Linked DNA regions of Drosophila melanogaster. The protein of the gene in region 1 purifies or fractionates together with the protein of each later gene. This does not show direct contact. Each region holds a gene or a part of one and is shown in the gene's direction. Other genes may lie near its edges.

What was found.
Region 2: the proteins of mldr (region 1) and scu purify together in Drosophila melanogaster (affinity purification with western blotting; one study listed by BioGRID). This does not show direct contact.

Annotation. Positions count from the first base shown.
Region 1 is NC_004354.4:6,287,601-6,297,180, forward strand, and holds mldr (mulder), read left to right. Parts: upstream 1-3,702; 5' UTR 3,703-3,806; coding exon 3,807-5,068; intron 5,069-5,134; coding exon 5,135-5,507; 3' UTR 5,508-5,579; coding exon of another isoform or gene 5,580-6,144; 3' UTR 6,145-6,209; coding exon of another isoform or gene 6,210-6,538; 3' UTR 6,539-6,577; downstream 6,578-9,580. Other genes in the region: Top3beta (topoisomerase 3beta), read right to left, coding at 41-131; wuho, read left to right, coding at 554-1,828; Rpt4 (regulatory particle triple-A ATPase 4), read right to left, coding at 2,019-2,121, 2,185-2,325, 2,455-3,175, 3,239-3,358, 3,415-3,523; CG15892 (uncharacterized protein), read right to left, coding at 5,580-6,144, 6,210-6,538; CG15891 (uncharacterized protein), read right to left, coding at 7,004-7,453; CG3815 (uncharacterized protein), read left to right, coding at 7,906-7,953, 8,110-8,300, 8,364-9,048, 9,109-9,580.
Region 2 is NC_004354.4:18,087,200-18,096,779, forward strand, and holds scu (scully), read left to right. Parts: upstream 1-4,059; 5' UTR 4,060-4,182; coding exon 4,183-4,191; intron 4,192-4,355; exon of another isoform or gene 4,356-4,455; intron 4,456-4,752; coding exon 4,753-5,511; 3' UTR 5,512-5,654; downstream 5,655-9,580. Other genes in the region: Ada3 (transcriptional adaptor 3), read left to right, coding at 1-383; Swt1 RNA endoribonuclease, read right to left, coding at 1,809-2,032, 2,096-2,725, 2,784-3,038, 3,118-3,223; RhoGAP16F (Rho GTPase activating protein at 16F), read left to right, coding at 8,066-9,254, 9,317-9,422, 9,492-9,580. UniProt on the Drosophila melanogaster protein: Mitochondrial dehydrogenase involved in pathways of fatty acid, and steroid metabolism.

The DNA of each region.
Region 1 (9,580 bases):
TGCTGAGTTTGGGAGTTCGTGTTGATCTACTGGCACTTACCACGCTTGGCCGTGCAGCGTCCGTTTGAGAGAATCCCCGCCAGCGAGGCCGCCAGCGAGGGCTTCTCGGCCACCATCAGCACGCTCTTCATGGCCCAAATCCAAGTCCCGCAATCCAATGGCCTATATAATTGATGATGAGATTTTTGCAGCGCTTCCTCCTGCCCACTCGTTCACTCGCATGGGATTCGCCGGTTTCGTGCTGCACACACACTCACACAAACGCACACGCACAGCATAAACGCACACGAACACGGGCTAATGGATGAATTGGACTTCCTCGCTATACATCCGTATAATCCCCTCTATTTAACAAATTTCACGGGCATTATTTTCCAGCCAATAATACGGTCTCACTGCCGTTGGCAGCAACAGGGTCACACTACATTCTAACGAATGCATCAATTGGTCATACCGCAGCGTGCAGCCCTGGTGAGCAGATCTTATCGCTCGTCGATACCAGTAGTCAGTAGTTGTGCAAACCTATCGGTGGCTATCGAATCGAGTCGCAAGAATGTGCACAACAATTTCGTTCGCGGAACCCGAAATCGTGCTCGGCCATGGCCGCAGGGTGCTCTTCGTGAACCCCGACGACCTGCAGATATTCAAGGAGATCGAGCTGCCGCCCGACCTTGGCCTGAAAGGCCATACATCCCAGTCGCAGGAATCGTGTACAGCCGCAGCAGCCGCATCCACAGCCACAGCCGCATCCGGTCAGGCACCGGGTGGCAAGGAGCAACAGCTTGCCAATCAGCCAGAGGAGGGCGGAACCTCTGCCAGCGCCTCCGGTTTGGGATGTGCCACCAGCACATCGGTACAGAATGTGGCCTACTCGCCAGACGGACAGCTGCTGGCCGTGACCACCAGTGGAAAACAGAAAGCTCTCCTGCTCTATCGTTCACGGCCGGAGAACGCCCGCCTGCTCTCCGCCCGCCCACTGGCCCGGGCGTCCAGTGCCCTGCGCTTCTGCAGCGACAGCAGCTCCATTCTGGTCACAGACAAGACTGGCGATTGCTATCAGTACGACTGCGTTGAGGTGGAGGCTCCGCCGCGCCTGCTGTTGGGCCATTTAAGTGTGGTATACGACATCCTGTGGTCGGAGGACCAGCAGCATATCATCACCTGCGATCGGGATGATAAGATACGCGTGACCAACTATCCCGCCACCTTTGACATCCACAGCTATTGCCTGGGCCACAGGGAGTTTGTCTCAGGCCTGGCACTGCTCACGGAGCAGCATATCGCCTCCGCTTCGGGGGACAAGACCTTGCGCGTATGGAACTACATTCAGGGCAAAGAGCTGCTGCAGCACGAGCTACCAGCACCGGCGGTTCGTTTATTGGTACGCCAGCTGGAGCCGGAGAAGGTCTTCCAGGCGGCGGTGCTCTTCTACGAGCACGTGGACGCCCTGGGATTGTATCGCCTGGAGCGCAGCTCCGATGACACCTGGAGCGTGACGGCCACACAACTGGTTTGCGCCGAAGCGGGCTCATGGAGCATTAGCAACTTTACTTTAACCAGCGACCGGATCTACATCACCGGCGCAGAGAACGAACGCTTAAGCTTGCGCGTCTACGACATCGCAACTGGCCAGCCGGCGAGCAGCGGCGTGCCCGAGGGCTGGCTGAAGATGGTGCTAGACGGATTGGGTGCCAACGAGGAGGGCGCACCGCCATTCATTCCCGAGGACTTGTCCGTTTGGTTTAAGAAGCGCTTCGACAACGTTAGCGACTATTTGGAGCGCAAGAAGCGGCGCATCGAGGAGCAGCAGCAGCAGAAGTGCGGCTAATCCCCGGGCGCCCACATACCCAAAGGAAATTAAATGAACCTAATCTTTACATAGCATTTAATTAGCATATGGAGAAGAAGCAACGGACTTTGTGTGACAGGCCCGTTGTGGGCATAATATATATATATCTGTATATGTGTGTAAATGGTGTATGGTTATCTCTATGGGGGGCGGTGGCGAGCACTGGCTCCTAGACGGGCTTGTAGTCCAGCTTGCTCTCCAACTTCTTGTTGTCCGACACCTTGCGCACCGCCTTCATGAAGTCCTCCTGGATGACGTACTCCCGCTCCGCACTGGATTTGCAAGAATAGTTACATTTTAGGGAGCTTATCAAGCGGTGGAAACTTCGCACTTACCGAATGGCAAAGAGACCCGCCTCCGTGCAGACATTACGCAGATCAGCGCCATTAAAGTTGTCCGACAGCTTGACAATGGCCTCGTAGTCGATTTCGCCGTGCTTGGCGATCTTCAGTGCGTGAATCTTGAGAATTTCCAACCTAAAAGGAGTTGGGGTTTTACCATCAGTATGACAAAGTATGTAAGTATCTAATCTGAGAAATCCCTATTCATATTTCACCAAGAAGACATCAAAGATAAGAGCCAATCAATGTGGGAATATAGCTTACCTAGCCTGCTCGTTGGGCAGCGGAATCTCGATCTTCCTGTCCAAGCGACCCGGACGCAGAAGGGCAGGATCGAGGGTGTCCGGACGATTGGTTGCCATGATCATCTTGACTTGGCCAAGCGAATCGAAGCCGTCCATCTGGTTGAGCAGCTCCATCAGGGTGCGCTGGATCTCGCGATCGGCAGAGGTGCCCTCGGAGAAGCGCCGACCACCGATAGCGTCGATTTCGTCCATGAAAATGATGCAGGGCTGATGGTCGCGGGCATAGTTGAACATCTCGCGAATGAGACGCGCACTCTCGCCAATATACTTGTCGACAATCGCCGAGGACACGACCTTGAGGAAGTTGGCGTCCAGCTGGGAGGCCACTGCACGGGCCAGCAGGGTCTTGCCGGTGCCAGGAGGTCCGTACAGCAAACAACCCTTCGGTGGCGTGATGCCGACGCGCAGGAAGAGCTCCGGATTCAGTAGGGGCAGCTCGATCACTTCGCGCAGCTCGCGAATTTGGTCGGTTAGGCCGCCGATGGCCGAGTAGGTGACATCCCCGGGATCCTCGTGCGACATATTGTACACCAGTGGGTCCACCTCGCGCGGCAAGTAGCGCATAATGGTCAGTGTGGTCATGTCGAGGGCCACACGAGTTCCGGACTTCAGCTTGGCTTTGTCCAGCTGCCGGCGGCAGCCGACCACGTAGCGGGGTCCATTGGTGGCCTTCACAATGACTGTGTGGCAAGTAAGTAGTTAGAATAGAGGCAATCTTAGACAGAATATGGGAGAGTTCTCACATTTATCCTCGGTCAGCTGCTTCAGCACCTCACCAACGATCTGTCCCACGCTCTGCAGGGCCTTTAGATCGTTCTCCGACTTGTCGTACAGCTTGGTCAGATCCTTGATCTCCTCGCGCTCTGAAAATAGCCAGGTTAATACGCATTTGCTGGCGGAGATCAGCGGATAGACGAACTTTCTTTGAGGCGTCCCTCGATTTCCTTGTGCTCTAGCAACTTCTTTCGGTACTCGGATAAGGCTTTCACCCGCAGATTGTCCGGCATCGGTGTGGCGGTCACGGTCATCTTGTTCGAGGATTTACGCTGTACTTTCGGCTGTGCAACGCTTAAAATAAATTAAATTCAGAAAAGTAGTGAGTTGCAACTTTTGTCGCAATGCAGTGTGCCCGTAACGTGGCACGCAATAAATGTACACTTACTTCGGTATATTTCATTTGGCATATACCAAATGCGGTGCGTGCACTGGCTAAGTGCAGCGTGTGACTGGCCACACCGCCAGCCGGCATAATTCTTATTGGAATTATTGTGTTAAGCGAGAATAATTTTAATCTAAATTTAAATTTAACTAATGTATAATTTACGCCTGCTACGAAATCTCCTGCCGATCGCCGGGCACGCCCATCCGCGCTGGCTGGCTAGCCAGCACAAGCGGCGCCCGCAGCCGGGCAGCCTGCCGGCCGATCGGCTGGACCAGCTGCGCAGTGATCTCTTCGAGCGTCGCCATGAGCTGAGTGGCGCGGAGTGGACGGAGGTGCGGAGGTCGCTCGTGGACGGGTACAAGCACATCAACGGGCACAACGTGGACGCCGTCATTCTGGGCGTGTGCAGTGCACCCAACCAATTGTCGTTGGCCAAAAGCTATGTGGAGTTCCTGAGGAGCAGGGGCTCCAAACCGAATGCAGCGACACTGGGTCGCCTGCTGAGGGTCTACAATGCCGCCTACCACGAGCGACCGCTTAGCGAGGCGGAACAGTCGGAGATACTGCAGATCTGCCGATCATTGCAGGCGGAGCACGAAACTCTGGACGCCAGCAGCTGCGAGAATGTGATTCATGGACTGGTGGCCACCAGCGGCGATGATTGGCAGCGCGGACTGCCGCTGCTCGAGATGATGAAGGTCACCAGTACGCCCAGTGTGGCCGCCTACTCCGCGCTGGCGGAGAAGGCCTTCAGTGTGGCGACACCGGAGCAGGAATTGGCCTGGCGCCTACTGGAAGAGATGGCCACGGCACGGAAGCCGCCCAAATGCGAGGTCTATCTGGCGCTGCTCAATCGACTGGCCAACGAAACGGCACAACTTCCTGCACAGCTTAGCCTTTTGTTGCAATTCCTCGAACGCCATGAGATTCTAGTCAGCCAGCGGGTGGCGATACGATTGCAGGAGCTGTCCAGCCAGGTGCCCCAACTGTTGCACACCAGGACCACCCATTTGGGAGGTCTGGGCAAGTGCCAGTCCTGCCAGCAGCACCTCCAGCCGGTGGCCATCAGCGATGAGGAGTTCCGGCAGCTAAGCGAATGTTTTCTGGAGCGCGTGCTCATACGACGAGACGTCTTCCAGCGCTCCACGCCCGAGGAGGTGGCCAGGTTCAAGAAGTTTGTCGAAAAGACGGCGCCATACGACTGTGTGATCGATGGCCTCAATGTGGCCTACTCTACGGGCACCAAAAAGACGCCGCAGCAGCTGGCCAAGCTAGTGGCTACGGTGGTGCGTCATTTCCGGGAACAGGACAAGCGTGTCCTCGTCCTGGGACGCGAGCACATGCGCAACTGGTCCAAGCAGGCCATGCACTATGTGCACTGCAATGCCAGCCTCTTCTTGACCAGCAATCTGTAAGGGAATTCATCTCGAATTGGAAAGGGATAGGTAGACTAATTCGTTCGTTCGTTTGCTTATAGGTCGCACGATGATCCCTTCCTGCTGTATGCCACGCTGCGCAGCGGCCAGGAGACAGACTTCTTCTCCCGCGACCTGATGCGCAGTCACGCCTTTCATCTGGGCACCGAGCTGAAGCCCATCTTTCGTCGCTGGCAGCAGGAGCACCAGTTCTCCCTGGTCACCCAAACGCAAACGGGTCAGATTATAGTCAAGGAGCCCGTTCGTCATCGGCTGTGTGCCCACCAAGTGGCGGACACCTGGCATGTGCCCTACTGCGCGCAGTACACGCCGCATCCCACAGACAGCTTCGAGGTGCCCGCCAACTGGCTGTGCATCCAGATGAAGGAGCAGACGATACCCGCCACCAAAACCAAGACCAAAACAACGAGGTGACCATGTGAGCAAGACTTCTTATGCGAATAAATAGTAGCCAAATGTTAACACGAATACACTGAAGGAGCCGTCCTAGTCGCAGTCATAGCGGGTGCACTTCTCAAAGGCTCCAAGACCCTGCGGCTGGGGCTTCTTGCGACGGCGCTCGTACAGCAGCTTCTTCTCGGCGGCGCACATGAGCCGACGCTTGATGTGATTGTCCATCTCGAAGTCCAAGTCGGCCGGCTTGGCCAGCTCGTTGGGATCCCTTGTGGCTGCCGAGTCCAGCGCCTTAATGATCAAACTGAGCAGCGCGTGCGCGAGGCGATGGCACACATCGTACTCGATGGCATCCTGGCTGGTGTAGTAGATGGCCGACTGTGAGGTGGGCTGCACACCAATGGCCAACAGGATGTTGCAGAAGATGCCGCGCTGCATGCGCGCATACGGATCCACCAGCTGCGGCGGAATGCGCATCGTTGTGGCCAGATGGGAAATGAATTTGGCGAACTTCTTGATGAGCACGTTCAGGTACTGGGTGCGGCACTGGCGCTCCAGCTTGGTCAGCATGTTGTAGTACAGTTCCTGCTTGCGCTTCAGGAAATCCTCCTTCTTTCGCTCCTTGGTCTTGTTGCTCTTAAGGATCTGCTCCAGCTGTCTGTTTTTGGGAATGAGATGAGATGATTAGATCGCGTTAGCAACTGATGCAAGCGCTGCACTTACTCCGTGGTAATGGCTTTGTATTTGCCCAGCATGCGCTTGATCCGCTTGGCCCGCAGCTTCGGATCGTATACATCCTTGAACTGCTCGTAGTTGTCGATGAGCGTGTGCAACTTGGGCTTGGACAGGGCCACGTCGTAGGGCTTTACCTTGGGCGGCAGTGTCGGCTGGTAGGCCATGCGCCGCACATACAACTCCAGCTTGTCCAGTTCCTCCTCCCGCCGCTTCTTTACGTTCTCCTCTGCGCACACATCCGGATCCTCCTCCTCGGGCAGCGACTCCGTCGACGTGGGCATCGGCTCATCCCAATCCGAGACATTGGAGCTGGCCATGGCTGAAGAGTACTACACGGAACTGAACTAAACGAAACGAAACGGAACGGCTCGTCTCGGCTTGGTAAATTTGTACGTATTGGAAATTTAGCTTTGAACTTGGTTACTTATAAACACAAAATAATGTTTCGAAATCTTTTTTGTGTACGAAAAATTTGGGTAAACGGGAGCACTAACAATTTTATGTATTCACGCTGCGATAGTGGATCACCTTATGAGCAGTCCCAGTTGAAATGTGAGCGAGGTAAAACCAAAGGACTACTTGATAGTCAGAAAAGTTCTACATGTTTTCAAAGAAATGGAACATTAATTGTATGGCAACAAGATTAAGGAATTCCAATGACTCACACCACTAACAAGCAAAAGAGCACTGCATATGTGGTTTACAATTAAATAAGCAACGTTTTATTATATGTAATGTAATGTAATGTATGAATATTAACCAGTGGATCTATGGATCTAAAGCTAGTAACACTCGTTCTGCACGGATCGCTCCAGGGCGAAGGTGTACTCCTCGGCCAGCTCGTCCACGGACAATTGGCGCGTTAGTAGCGCCAATATGCTGTCCACCTGCATTTGGGTGCTGGTGTAGCGATCCTTGTTGGCCAATCCGGGTGCCAGCTCGAATGGAATGTCCTGCAAGTAATTGACGGGTCCTTGGGCTCCGGGCTGCTTCACTTGATCGCTGCGCGGTCCTGGCATCGGCGGATAGGGCAGATAGCCCGCTGGCGGCATAGGTGGATACATGGAGCCGGCTGGAACACCCGGATGAGGAGCATCCGGTACTGGTTTGCGCTCTATGAACACGAAATCATCGACACTGGTGCCTGGACGGGTTGCCTCCGCCGGTCCCTGGATGGGCTGGTCATCCGTGGGCGTTTCCGCGGGCTTGCGTTTGCCAAATATCGAAAACATTGCACTATTTTGTTCTATTGTTTGGTAAAATCAACTGGCAAATTGCGTCGTCCGCCAGCTGTGATGCTCTTTTAGCGGGCGTTGGTCCAAAACAGCGAGTGCTAGCTAGTGGTGTGCCCAAAAGATGTAAACATATAGGTGTCTATAGTGAGGTCTGAGCGAAATATGAGAATTTTGGGTATTTAATTTTTAACTATTTGTTTGCTTGGGTATTTTTCGGTTACGAATGTGTATACCCAATATAAACTTTATTAATTGCAAGTAGTTAGATTTGGAGTGAAATGCAGTCTGCACTGAATTTCCGTTAATCGCCTATCGGTGGGCGCGCAGTGTGGCCATTCGCTCGTCGGATGCGCAGGGCTGGACAACCGACACTGCGCCCGCCTCCGTCGCCAAGTGAAGTCGCTCCGAGATTGATTGTGTACACCGGATAAGAGGAGCGAGCGAAAAAGATGTCAAAATTGGACCAGGACCCGAACGCCTCACTGAGCATCATGGAGGTGAGTGTGCCGCCGGGACGCCATTCAGAGCTTCAGTGTGTCCACTGCCCGGAGCTCCAATTCCAATCGGCGGTGGCTACTCTAGAGCTGCCACATTAACGCATTCACAACTGTCTCCATTTCCCACATTTAACATAACTTTACTACTTCGCGCAGCAAATCAAGCAGCTCATCCGCCCGCCGCCCAACGAGGACGAGAAGATGATGCAGCGGTCCACCAACACGAAGCATCCGTACTACAGGCGCCCGGGCAGGGGCCACAACCACGACTATTGTGACGCCTGCGAGGAGGGCGGCAATCTGCTGTGCTGCGATCGATGCCCCTCCAGCTTCCACCTGCAATGCCAGTGAGTATATACACGCGCATATAGCTGCTCATTTTGAGTGCTGATTTCGTGCTTTCGCCACAGTGATCCACCGTTGAGCGAGGAGGACATACCCAGTGGCCAGTGGCTGTGCCACAGCTGTCGCATGAGCAAGCTCTCCCAGCCGCCGGCCTCCTCATCCAAGGCCAGTTCCGTGGAGCGTGTGCCTTCGGCGGGCAGTGGCTCACGGGCGAATACTCCATCGTCTGGCGATCTGGAGTCCATACCGCTGAAGATCCGCAACCTGCGCAAACGCAGCAACAGCGAACGCAATAGCACCGAGAAGCTGCTGGCCAAAATGCCGATGTCCATACAGCGCGCCCTCGATCCGAACAAGAAGCCAACGCCGCTGGACGATGTCATCAGGGCGGCCACCATGATGAATCCGCAGCAATTCTCGCTGCCGCCGGAGCTCGAGCTGCACACCCAGTTCCCGGGCAATGGCAAGGTGCAACCCGTACAGCAGACGCATCCGCCGAGCGGAAATGGCGGTAATCGCAGATGCGCCGGCAATCAGCGACGCAACTCCAAGCCGTTTGAGCTGGATGCCCAGGGACTGGTGCCGCTGCCCGCCAAAACCTGTTTCTACTGCACGCGCTCCTGCAAACGGGCGCCGCTCATCTCCTGCGACTACTGTCCGCTCTACTTTCACCAGGATTGCCTGGATCCGCCACTGACGGCACTGCCAGCTGGATTGTGGATGTGCCCCAATCATGCCGAGAATTTTATCGTAAGTCAGCCAACGCACATGGAGGTCTGCTTGGGTTCTAATGAGGATGTCTGTTCACAGGATGCCAATATGACCAATAGCATTTCGGCCACGGAGCGGGTGCGTCTCTGGAATCGCTTCCACCAGCCACTTGACCATGAAAATGTCAAGCTTGAGTTCTTCCGGCGTGTCAACACGCGCAATCCGCCCTTTCGCACCAAGAGAAATCTGCGTGCTCGCGCCCACATCGAGGTGCCAGCCATTGTGCGCTACCACTACGATCATCCGCCGCCGCTGTTGCCCTCCATGCGCCAAACGTTGCGCTACGATCGGGTAAAGCGGCGCAATAACCTGCCCACCGAAGTCGAGGAGATATCCCGTGAGTCGGTCACCGAATCGCTGCTCAAGGATCTGGAGGCCTTGCGCACGGCTCACGCCAAATTCCGTGAGATTCAGAGGGAATTCGGAACCTTGGAGACGGCCATAGATGGCGATAGCGACAGCGATCCCAGTCCTGAAGAGAAAAGGACCGAGACGAACACTCCCGCCGATA
Region 2 (9,580 bases), about 12 Mb from region 1:
GACTGATCGATGCCAGTGAGTTTGCGGCCCACGAAGACGTGGACGAGGTGCTGATGGAGATCAAGCGCGTAACGACCGAAATCAGCACCATTTCGCAGTTTAACAGCGAGGAATTGAAGCGACTGCGTGCCGTTGCCAGTGAGGAAATCAAGCGCATTGCCATCAAACAGAAATTGGACATGGTGGACCAGGAGATACTCGAGTGCTACAAGCGAATGCTGCAGTATCGGGCCAAGCGCAAGGGCCACACCATCGAGGAGAAGCAGGAGATACTGCGGCTGACCAACGAGCAGCGCCTACTTGCGGATCAGCTGGAGCGTATGCAGATGCATCTGCCCTGCATCGGCGGCTCCGGCAACTCCCTGTTAGAGCCAAAGATGTAGGACAGGAGCCTGGCCTGGGGCTGGTGCCAGCTAATGGCCATGCATCAGGCAAAGAGGCAGGTCCGCGACGCTAGCCTCAAGCTGCAGTGCGTCTGAAGGAGCTGCTCCTCCTTACTCGCCACTCCTTTCATTTCGCCAGACTGTAAATTAGCCACGCTATTCGACACGTACACGTAGCCTCTAGTGTCCGCAATCCAAGTTGTGGACGTTTTGGGAAGATGCGCTCATGGTGGCGGAAAATGTTTTGCATAAGTTTTCCTCGAGTTTTGGCATTCGTTTTCCCCAAATCGAACGCCACTTTTGAGTCGTTTTCGACTAGCTTCCAAACCCGTATTCTTATCTTCGTCACCAGACTGTACATTAACAAAGATACATTAGCTCATAGAATGTAGTGTTCAAGATTAAAGTGAAATTAATTATTTAGATAAGATCTTCAAGTGGCGGAGAGTAGCGTTTGCGTATTTTAAACTGTTCTTTTACAAAATCATAATTTCCCTTTCCTTGCTTAGTAACGTATTCCGTATTCTGTAAGCCTACAGTTTTTTGCCAATTTGTTTGTAATTGCCTGAAAATTAAATGGATATCCGTAGATTTTACATGCTAAATGCTAAATTTGATTTTGTGTACATAAAAGTGGAGGGTGAGATTCGCATTATTCGCTAAATGAACTGAAAAACTTTCCGCTACTGGAATTTCCCAAAATTTTACGAGCACGTTGTTTTCCTCATGTCTTTCGCAACTATAAATATTGATTCACCCTATTTAACACTCCCAAATACATACACTTTGTATAGCTTAAGTTATCGCGCGGCAATAAAGTCGTCACTATCGAGAGTAAAGCACAGAATTTTCCACCATGGGAGTGAGTTTGGGAGGAGAGAAACCACCGCGCTGGGCGAACGCTGCGTACGCTTTGAGCTCGATCTGGCCGACGAAGCGGGCAAGTGAACTCCAGCGGATGTGGGGAATCCTCTGCCGTTGCTTCGATCTTGTTTGCCCAGCCGATAAGGCGCAATCAAAGTCGGCAACTCCAGCGTACGGCTAATTAAAGCCAAACAAGCGAGCCGGCCATCTTCGATCGGAGGAAGCCCTTCCGGGCCACGCGGATTGGCTATCTCTAGAACGCTAATCGCCAGGCAAATATATCCAGAAACAAACTTTATTATACGTAGCAAATGGCAGTCAAATCTGATCTTCTAATATGTGCAAGTTTTTAGTCTTGGGTGAACACGTCGTCAGTGGCCTTCCTCTGAATGTATGCTAGATGATGTTTGTGGGTATAAAGATTCATTGTACTTCATGTATGCCGCGGTGCATCTTGCTTGACTGGTCGATCCCTTTCGCCCGCCACCCGATCCCGTATCACAAACGCAGTCACAGTCTTTCGTATACTAAATGTAAGGTGGGAGCTCGGACGGCATCGAGTTAATCGCCGAAGCCAGCGAACTCATCCACATAGGTGGACATCAGATCAGAGCGACAGGAGACCTGAATGTTGGAGGCATTGGCCTTGAGCCGAAGGTTCGCGTCGTTGGTGAGCAGGATCATGTGGGGAACCTGCGCCTGCAGCTGCAGGCAGCAATTCAAAATGCTGTCATCCGGGCAGTCGATCTTGATCAGGTGATCCGCCTCCTCCAAAGCGGATTGAGCTGCAACAAAGATAATACACATAGGTAAGTTCCAACGATTTACATACACAATCCACGACCCACCTTGTATTTGAAAGCTTTCGTCGAACTTGGTGTTCAAAAAGCGTATTGCTCGCATGGCAATCACACGCTGCAGGCAGTCCGACTGGTACTTGCTCTTTAGCTTGTCCAGCTCTTTGATTACTATGTACGGAAGGTACAGCATGCTGCCCACCGTGCCCGGCAGCACCACATCGGTCAGTCTCTCCACGAACTTGTGGTTGTGTATGAGGACGTTGGTGTCCAGCACAAAGTACATGTAATCCTCAAGCCTTGGGGGCAGCTCCTCGGCATCGGCCGCCTGCAGCATCAATATAGTGTCGTCCTCTTCCTTAGCCTCATCCTGACCTTTCTGTGGCGCCTCCTCTTCAATGGACTCCGCCGGCAGCATCAATAGAGTGTCGTCCCCTTTCTTAGCCTCATCCTGATCATTCTGTGCCGCCTCCTCTTCAATAGACTCCTGCCATTCCATGGGCTCGACCTCCATATCGCTGGCCGTCGAGCCATCAAATGCACTTGGATTTGTGATGTTGCAGGCTTCTGGTTGTTTTTCTATCACCTCTTCGTTGATCTTGGCCACAATATTGTTGTTGCGCTCCTCATATAGCTGCTTCTGCTGCAGCGAAGCTCTTAACAGCATGAGACGCTGGTAGGCTAGGGAGACGATAAGGAGAACATGGGATATGAGTAACTATATGCACCGGGCACTCACCAGTTTGGGTACGTCCCGCCTTCAGGCGATTGGCATCGACCAGGGCTTTTGGCTTTTCCCAGGCATTCATCGCCACCTTAGGCGGAAACTTCAGGAGTCGCTGGGGCGTAGATGTGGACGCACTTGATCGACGAGATGCGGAGGAACTGTGGGTGATCCGCTTGGTGGTCCCCTGCTCCTTCTCGTTGTCCTGCACCCGCTTTAGTTGGCCCTGCAGGCGCTTGAGGCGGTCCTGGGCGGGATGCTGGCTCACTCCTTGCCATATTGCGTGGAAAAGTGGAGTTGAATCTTGGTTCTGGCATTCTGGCAAACGCGCAGTTTGCATGGGTTTTACCATTTGACGGACGTGGCGTGCTGATGATCCTAACCAGCTGGTCGTCGTCCAACGGCCTCAGATTGGAAGACTTTGGCGTGTGCTTACTTTCTCCACCGAGCGACATATTGTGTTCTTTAACATTTGATTTCTAGGAAGTACTCATTTATTTTGTATTTCAATAGGCAATCTGACTTAGAGGTGGAGAAACATCGATGACATCATCGATATCATCGATCTTTTCAAACAATCACAAGCATCGATGTTTTTCGAGGAATCATCGATGTTCTTCCATACATCGGAGGACAAAAGTATATAAATTGGGGGTATAAATTAAATTCGGATATAACTTTGTTATGATTTATTTAAAATACTCCTTATTTATATAAGCAATATTTTTTTTTAATTATTATTTATTAAGTGAAGTAATAAGAAATATTAAAAATGAAAATAATCTTAAATTAAACAGAAACAATGTTTTGTTTTTATTTAAAGCATAAATGTTTATGTTCAAATTAATTTAAGTTATAAACCATAAAATAAATTAAATGAGTATATGTAATTCTACGGCATACATTTTGGCGTGGAAGCTAAATACGAATTCATACAATGAATAGCTTATAACTAAAATTTACTGTAATAATCTATAGCATAAGTTGTTTTAAGCCATTGAATTTGAATAGCTAAAGATTTCATTTATAAAGACTTGAATGCTGCCACCTTAATTGTTGCAAAAACATGTTCTTGAAATAATAAGTTGCCAAGTTAGTTAGCTTGCCAAATAAAATCTTCACTGTTTGCCTGCTCGAGGTAATTTATATTTAAAAGTTCTTTCAAAATCTTGCAAATTAATTGCTTGGTAATAAACAAATTGATTTAAATTTAAATTTAAAAAAAAACTCAAAATTTAAAAGCTAAGCCAATGATAGGAGCCCCCTAACCGGTAGGCAGTATTTTCAAGCGGCGCACATACGGTCACACTGCACGGTTTCGAATCGCTTAACAAGTTTTTGCTTAAAAAGCTTTGCCGAGCACTAAGTAACCACCGCCTTTCGCACCCACAACACAACGCCACCAGCCAGAACAATGATCAAGGTACGTGGGGTGCTGTAAATAAGGATCACACTGCGATTAGACGGGAATTAGTGCAGCAAAAGCGGCCGATGACTGCGCGGCCGGGGTGCAAAGTCCAATTGGGATGTGAACTCGTGTCTATTATAAACATGGAGTCCCATAAATAACTGTATCTCTGCCCACAGCGATGTACCTTGTACCCAGCCAACAATTAGCATTACTTCCCCACCGAGTTATACAATAATACAATGCGGCTTATCGGGAAACTGGACACCGAACGCATCGGTCAGCTGCTTTCGAAATAATAAGATAAACCGGCATCGGATTATAAGTTTATCTGCAAATTGAGGATCGTGCTATTTCTATACTAACTTTAACGGACAACTTCTCAATGTTGTTAAAGATAAGGATCTCAGTCCTACAGATCGTATATTTTGCATTCTATATGCTTATTCTGTTAAGATCTCTAAACATTGATGTTGTAGTTGGGATGAAATGGAATGGAGTGCATTTTTAGAATCTATTTCCTTGGATATATACATATATATATAGTTTCTAACCCCATGCCTTTCCCACCCCCAGAACGCCGTTTCCCTGGTGACCGGAGGAGCCTCTGGACTGGGCCGCGCCACCGCCGAGCGCCTGGCCAAGCAGGGCGCCAGCGTGATCCTGGCCGATCTGCCCTCCTCCAAGGGCAACGAGGTGGCCAAGGAGCTGGGCGACAAGGTGGTCTTCGTGCCCGTGGACGTGACCTCCGAGAAGGATGTGAGCGCCGCTCTGCAGACGGCCAAGGATAAGTTCGGTCGTCTGGATCTGACTGTGAACTGTGCGGGCACAGCCACCGCGGTAAAGACGTTCAACTTCAACAAGAACGTGGCGCACCGCCTGGAAGACTTCCAGCGGGTGATCAACATCAATACCGTGGGCACGTTCAATGTGATCCGTCTGTCCGCCGGACTGATGGGCGCCAATGAGCCCAATCAGGATGGACAGCGCGGCGTGATCGTGAACACCGCCTCGGTGGCTGCCTTTGATGGCCAGATCGGCCAGGCGGCCTACTCCGCCTCCAAGGCAGCCGTGGTGGGCATGACCCTGCCCATTGCCCGTGACTTGAGCACCCAGGGCATACGTATCTGCACCATTGCACCGGGTTTGTTCAACACGCCTATGCTGGCCGCCCTGCCGGAGAAGGTGCGCACCTTCCTGGCCAAGTCCATACCGTTCCCGCAGCGCCTGGGCGAGCCCAGTGAGTACGCCCACCTGGTGCAGGCCATCTACGAGAATCCGCTGCTCAACGGCGAGGTCATCCGTATCGACGGTGCTCTGCGCATGATGCCCTAGATCCGGCTGAGCACTGTCTTGGACCTGTGGAAGTGGCTCGATCAGTTTGCATTTATCTATTGTCTAGTGGTTAAGCTGAAAAGTTTTATTATCTGTCCCGAAATTATGTAATAATTGCTATTAAACACACAATGTCACATTTCAAATTTTGGAGGCGCGTCTGCCTGCTGTTCTTCAACACTGGTTATATATAAGGGATAGCTGGGGTGTATTGGCTGCACAGGTCGTTGCAACAGGTGGATTAATTTTTTGTAAGTCAATTTTATTACTGACTTACTATTTGTGCAATTAATTCTTAAGCAACCATGTATTTATAATAAGAAAATAGTTTACTATCATATTTACAAAGTTGGTCTGAGCTTAAATATTTATTGAATAAAAGGGTATTTCTAAGTCGCTAGCCCTTAAGATTTCCCTGTTGTTCCCGCAAGTTGGCAGTTCCGTTTCAAAATGTAAACAACGAACATTTGAAAATCGCTCTTCAGAAGATAATGCCATATCAGCGCTGCTGAGCCGGGAACTTCGTAGGGCAGCTGGCGGGGATCAGGAGAATGTACCCCCTGTCCAGCAAACGGATCGCTTGGGAACACAAGACGCAGAGCAATTTAAGTGGAAGGAATCCCCGGCAGGAGATGATGCACTGGTGGTCAATGAGGATGCATTTTAAGTGAAGAAGAACGAAATGGACACTGTGCTGGACTGTCTATACAGCGATAGCTAGAGCAGTCCAGCAAAAATGGGGGAACTGTGAGTCAGCAATATATTTCAATGTTTTCCCAACTTTAGTTTCCGCTTTCCAGCCTGCTGCGTCGACTGATGCTCCAGTTTCTCCATGTGGAACAGCAGTCTAAGCTCTGGAATTTGGACGGAAGGAACCACCGAAAATATCGCAATGTAAATCTGCTAAATGAGGTACAAATATTTTGGGGAAAATCTACGTCCAGAGCAGATCATAGATTCATCAGCCATCCAACGAGCGTTTTCAGTGTCGGCATCTCCAGATGATTTGGGACATGCAGAGGATATCCTGTCACCGAAACTGGATCGGCTGAAGCTGTGGCGCAATAAAATGAAAATCTCCGCTCGATTCCTCGCAGCTTTAATGTTTCATTTGCCTCTTGAGGACCACTTCCCACCAGAAGAAAATGCGCCGGCAGCAGAACGAGCGGGAGAGCAAGCTATTTGCCTCCTGTTCTCACTACCACGGGAAATTTGGGCTATTGGAGGAAGTCGTAAAGAACGTGAATAGCTACATGGTTCATTGGACCAAGCACGACGATAGCCTGCCCTTCGATTGTTCCAGATGCCAAGCGACACAAGGAGCTCCACACCGAGCACAAGAGATCTCCAAATGATTGCAATCGAAATCAGTCGTAATGGAATGTAGGTAAAAGCACCTAATTTAATTGGATTATCACCATGGTGTGCCATGGAACCATTCAAAACATATACTTACACTTATCACACCATTTGCGATTAATCACCACCGGATATAAGGCACTCGGTACTTCCTAAATATAAAAGCACTACATCACGACCGATTGGCTATATCTCCATGGGCTGGTCAAGGCCCTGACTTGCTCCAGTTACCCAGAAATTGCCAAAGTCCAAGTCGGCAGCATACAGTAGCGATACGAGTGTTGGATATATACATATATCGTGTGCATAGGAGAATAGCAACTCCTCCAGTGGATTTCACACATAATCGTCAATTCTGTGACAGCCAGTTATATTCGTATATACATGTGTGCAGAGAGTGCTTTGGCATTTGTTTGGTTCTCCGGCTATCTTATCTGGAGTGTCGGAGTGGCCTGCGAGTGTGGAACTATTGGAATTGCGATAAGCGCCCACAGAATTCCAAACGCTCGTCCCAGCTAGTCAGTTGAAAGCGGAGCTGCCTGCGAATTATCCACTATCCGTGACCGACCGGCAATCGCGCCTCTGATACTGCGTCATCCGAGCGCGCCAAGGAAAAGTTTGATAATCCGAGGAAAACACAGAATCGGAAGACCCACAAGTGATTCGTGGTCAACTGGTGTACAAGGTGTGGCTGCTGTTGCAGTTGCAACTTCATTGGGCAACATTATACGATTCGGCAGGAAGAGGTTCTTGAAAAGCGGAAGAGTTGGGTGGTTACCACAGTGGGCACTGGCTAAGGAGTATGGCTTCCATTGAGAAGCTGCACTTTATATAGGGATTTACTACAGTTTATCTAATTGTATCTTATATTCATATATTTTCATATATATTTCAATATTGAATATTTCAAGTAAACATAATTTGTAATTCCCAGGGCTCACTGTGCATTTGCTATCTGAACTTAAATTCAATGGTCATAAACTAATTATAAACCCGATTATTTCTTTTTGCACAGTTCCTACACTTGACGTCACTGGGAAACGGGTGGAGAAGCAGGAGACGAAGGGAAGGGCTCTCCCTCCACTGGTCAGCTGCTTCACTGGCGCGGCGGCGATAAGCCCAAGTGCAGCCAATCGAGAAGAAGCCAGAGTGGAAAGGGTGTTGCGAACAACCCGATAGCGCCAAGCCCAGCATCATGCAGACGACGACAAGTCAGCGGCCAGTAACGCCTGGCACTCCAGACTCGGCGCATATCGTAATCGGCGCCGCGGGATTCGTGGCACACGAGAGACGCCAGCCCGGAAAGACCCTGATGAATTGCTTTCGCGATCGCTCCACGACGTCGTCGTCATCGTCGCAGGCCCAACACGCCTATGTGCGCGGCCACAGCGTCACCTCGAGCACTCTGTTTCGCCTGGAGGGCAGTGGTGGCTCCAATTGCACCTTGGACAAGGCGGGCAAGCAGGATACCGGGCGGCCCGAGGCGGTCGTCCTACTCAGAGAGCTGAAAACCAGACCCAACAAGCTGGCTCTGCTCAAGAGCAGCAGCAGCAAGGATCTGACCCGCCTGTTCCTGGACGATTCAACCAACACAGCCGTGCTGGTGTCCAACACCAGTATAGATGTCTGCTCCTCAAATTCCAGCTCTGGCGGCAGTCCGGCGGTGGGCAGGTCCAAGTCCGGCAGGGATCGCCGCAATGGACTGGAGTGCTGCAGCAGCTGCTCCAAGCGTTGGCACGATCTCAAGCAGCGTATGCACACTCTGGAGCAGGATCTGCTCGTCCAGACCACATACAGCCAAGAGCTGGAGCAGAAGGTGGGCGAGATGAGTCGCCAGTTGACGGAACTGCTTCAGGAACGCGACAGGGAGAGGGATAAGGATAAGGCGCGCTTTGCAGCCGCAGGCGGCGTTGCTGCGCCTGGCAAGCGGACTGCTCACGGCAGTCCCAATGTCCGACCCTCGCGCCTGGTGGCCTGGATGAACCTGTCCAACTGGTTCAAGAGCAGACCCAGCGTGGAAACGCTGCGGGAACAGCGCATCTTCTTCGACGAGCCCTGCTTCGATACGGAACTGGAGATGGTCCTCAAGCACGACCAGCACCGCACTGTGCCGCGCATCGTTGTGGATTGCTGCGATCTAATCGAGCAAAAGTACCGCAGATCTACGCAGCCCATCGAGGGCATCTATCGGCAGTGCGGCGACTACAATAAAATCCAAACGCTGCGCTTCAGCATCGACGCCAACGACTACGATTCACTGCGTCAGCCGGACGTCGATATACACACGTTGACCGGTGTGCTTAAGCTCTTCCTGCGCGAAATCAAGAGTCCGTTGGTCAGGGTCAACGAGGCCAAGACCTTCATTGGACAGCCCAATCAGTGGTGTAAGTTCGGAAGGTATTCTTCTTCAAGTGCCCACTTCTAATTCTTCCTTTCCTACGCGCAGTGTTAACCGATCTGTCTGCGAAGTTGGACTCCCTGAAAAGACTGATTCGTTCGCTGCCGGAGAGCAACCGGGACACCATGGACTACATCTTCGGTCACTTCAATAGGTTAGAGAGCCTCGCGTAGTACTACAATATACATATGTATCGGTAACTAATATACATTTGAATTTGCAGAATAACCAAGGTGCCGCTGCAGCAGATCAGCGCTGAAACGCTGTCCATATCGGTGACGCCGTCGATCTTTCACACGGTGCCACAGGGCG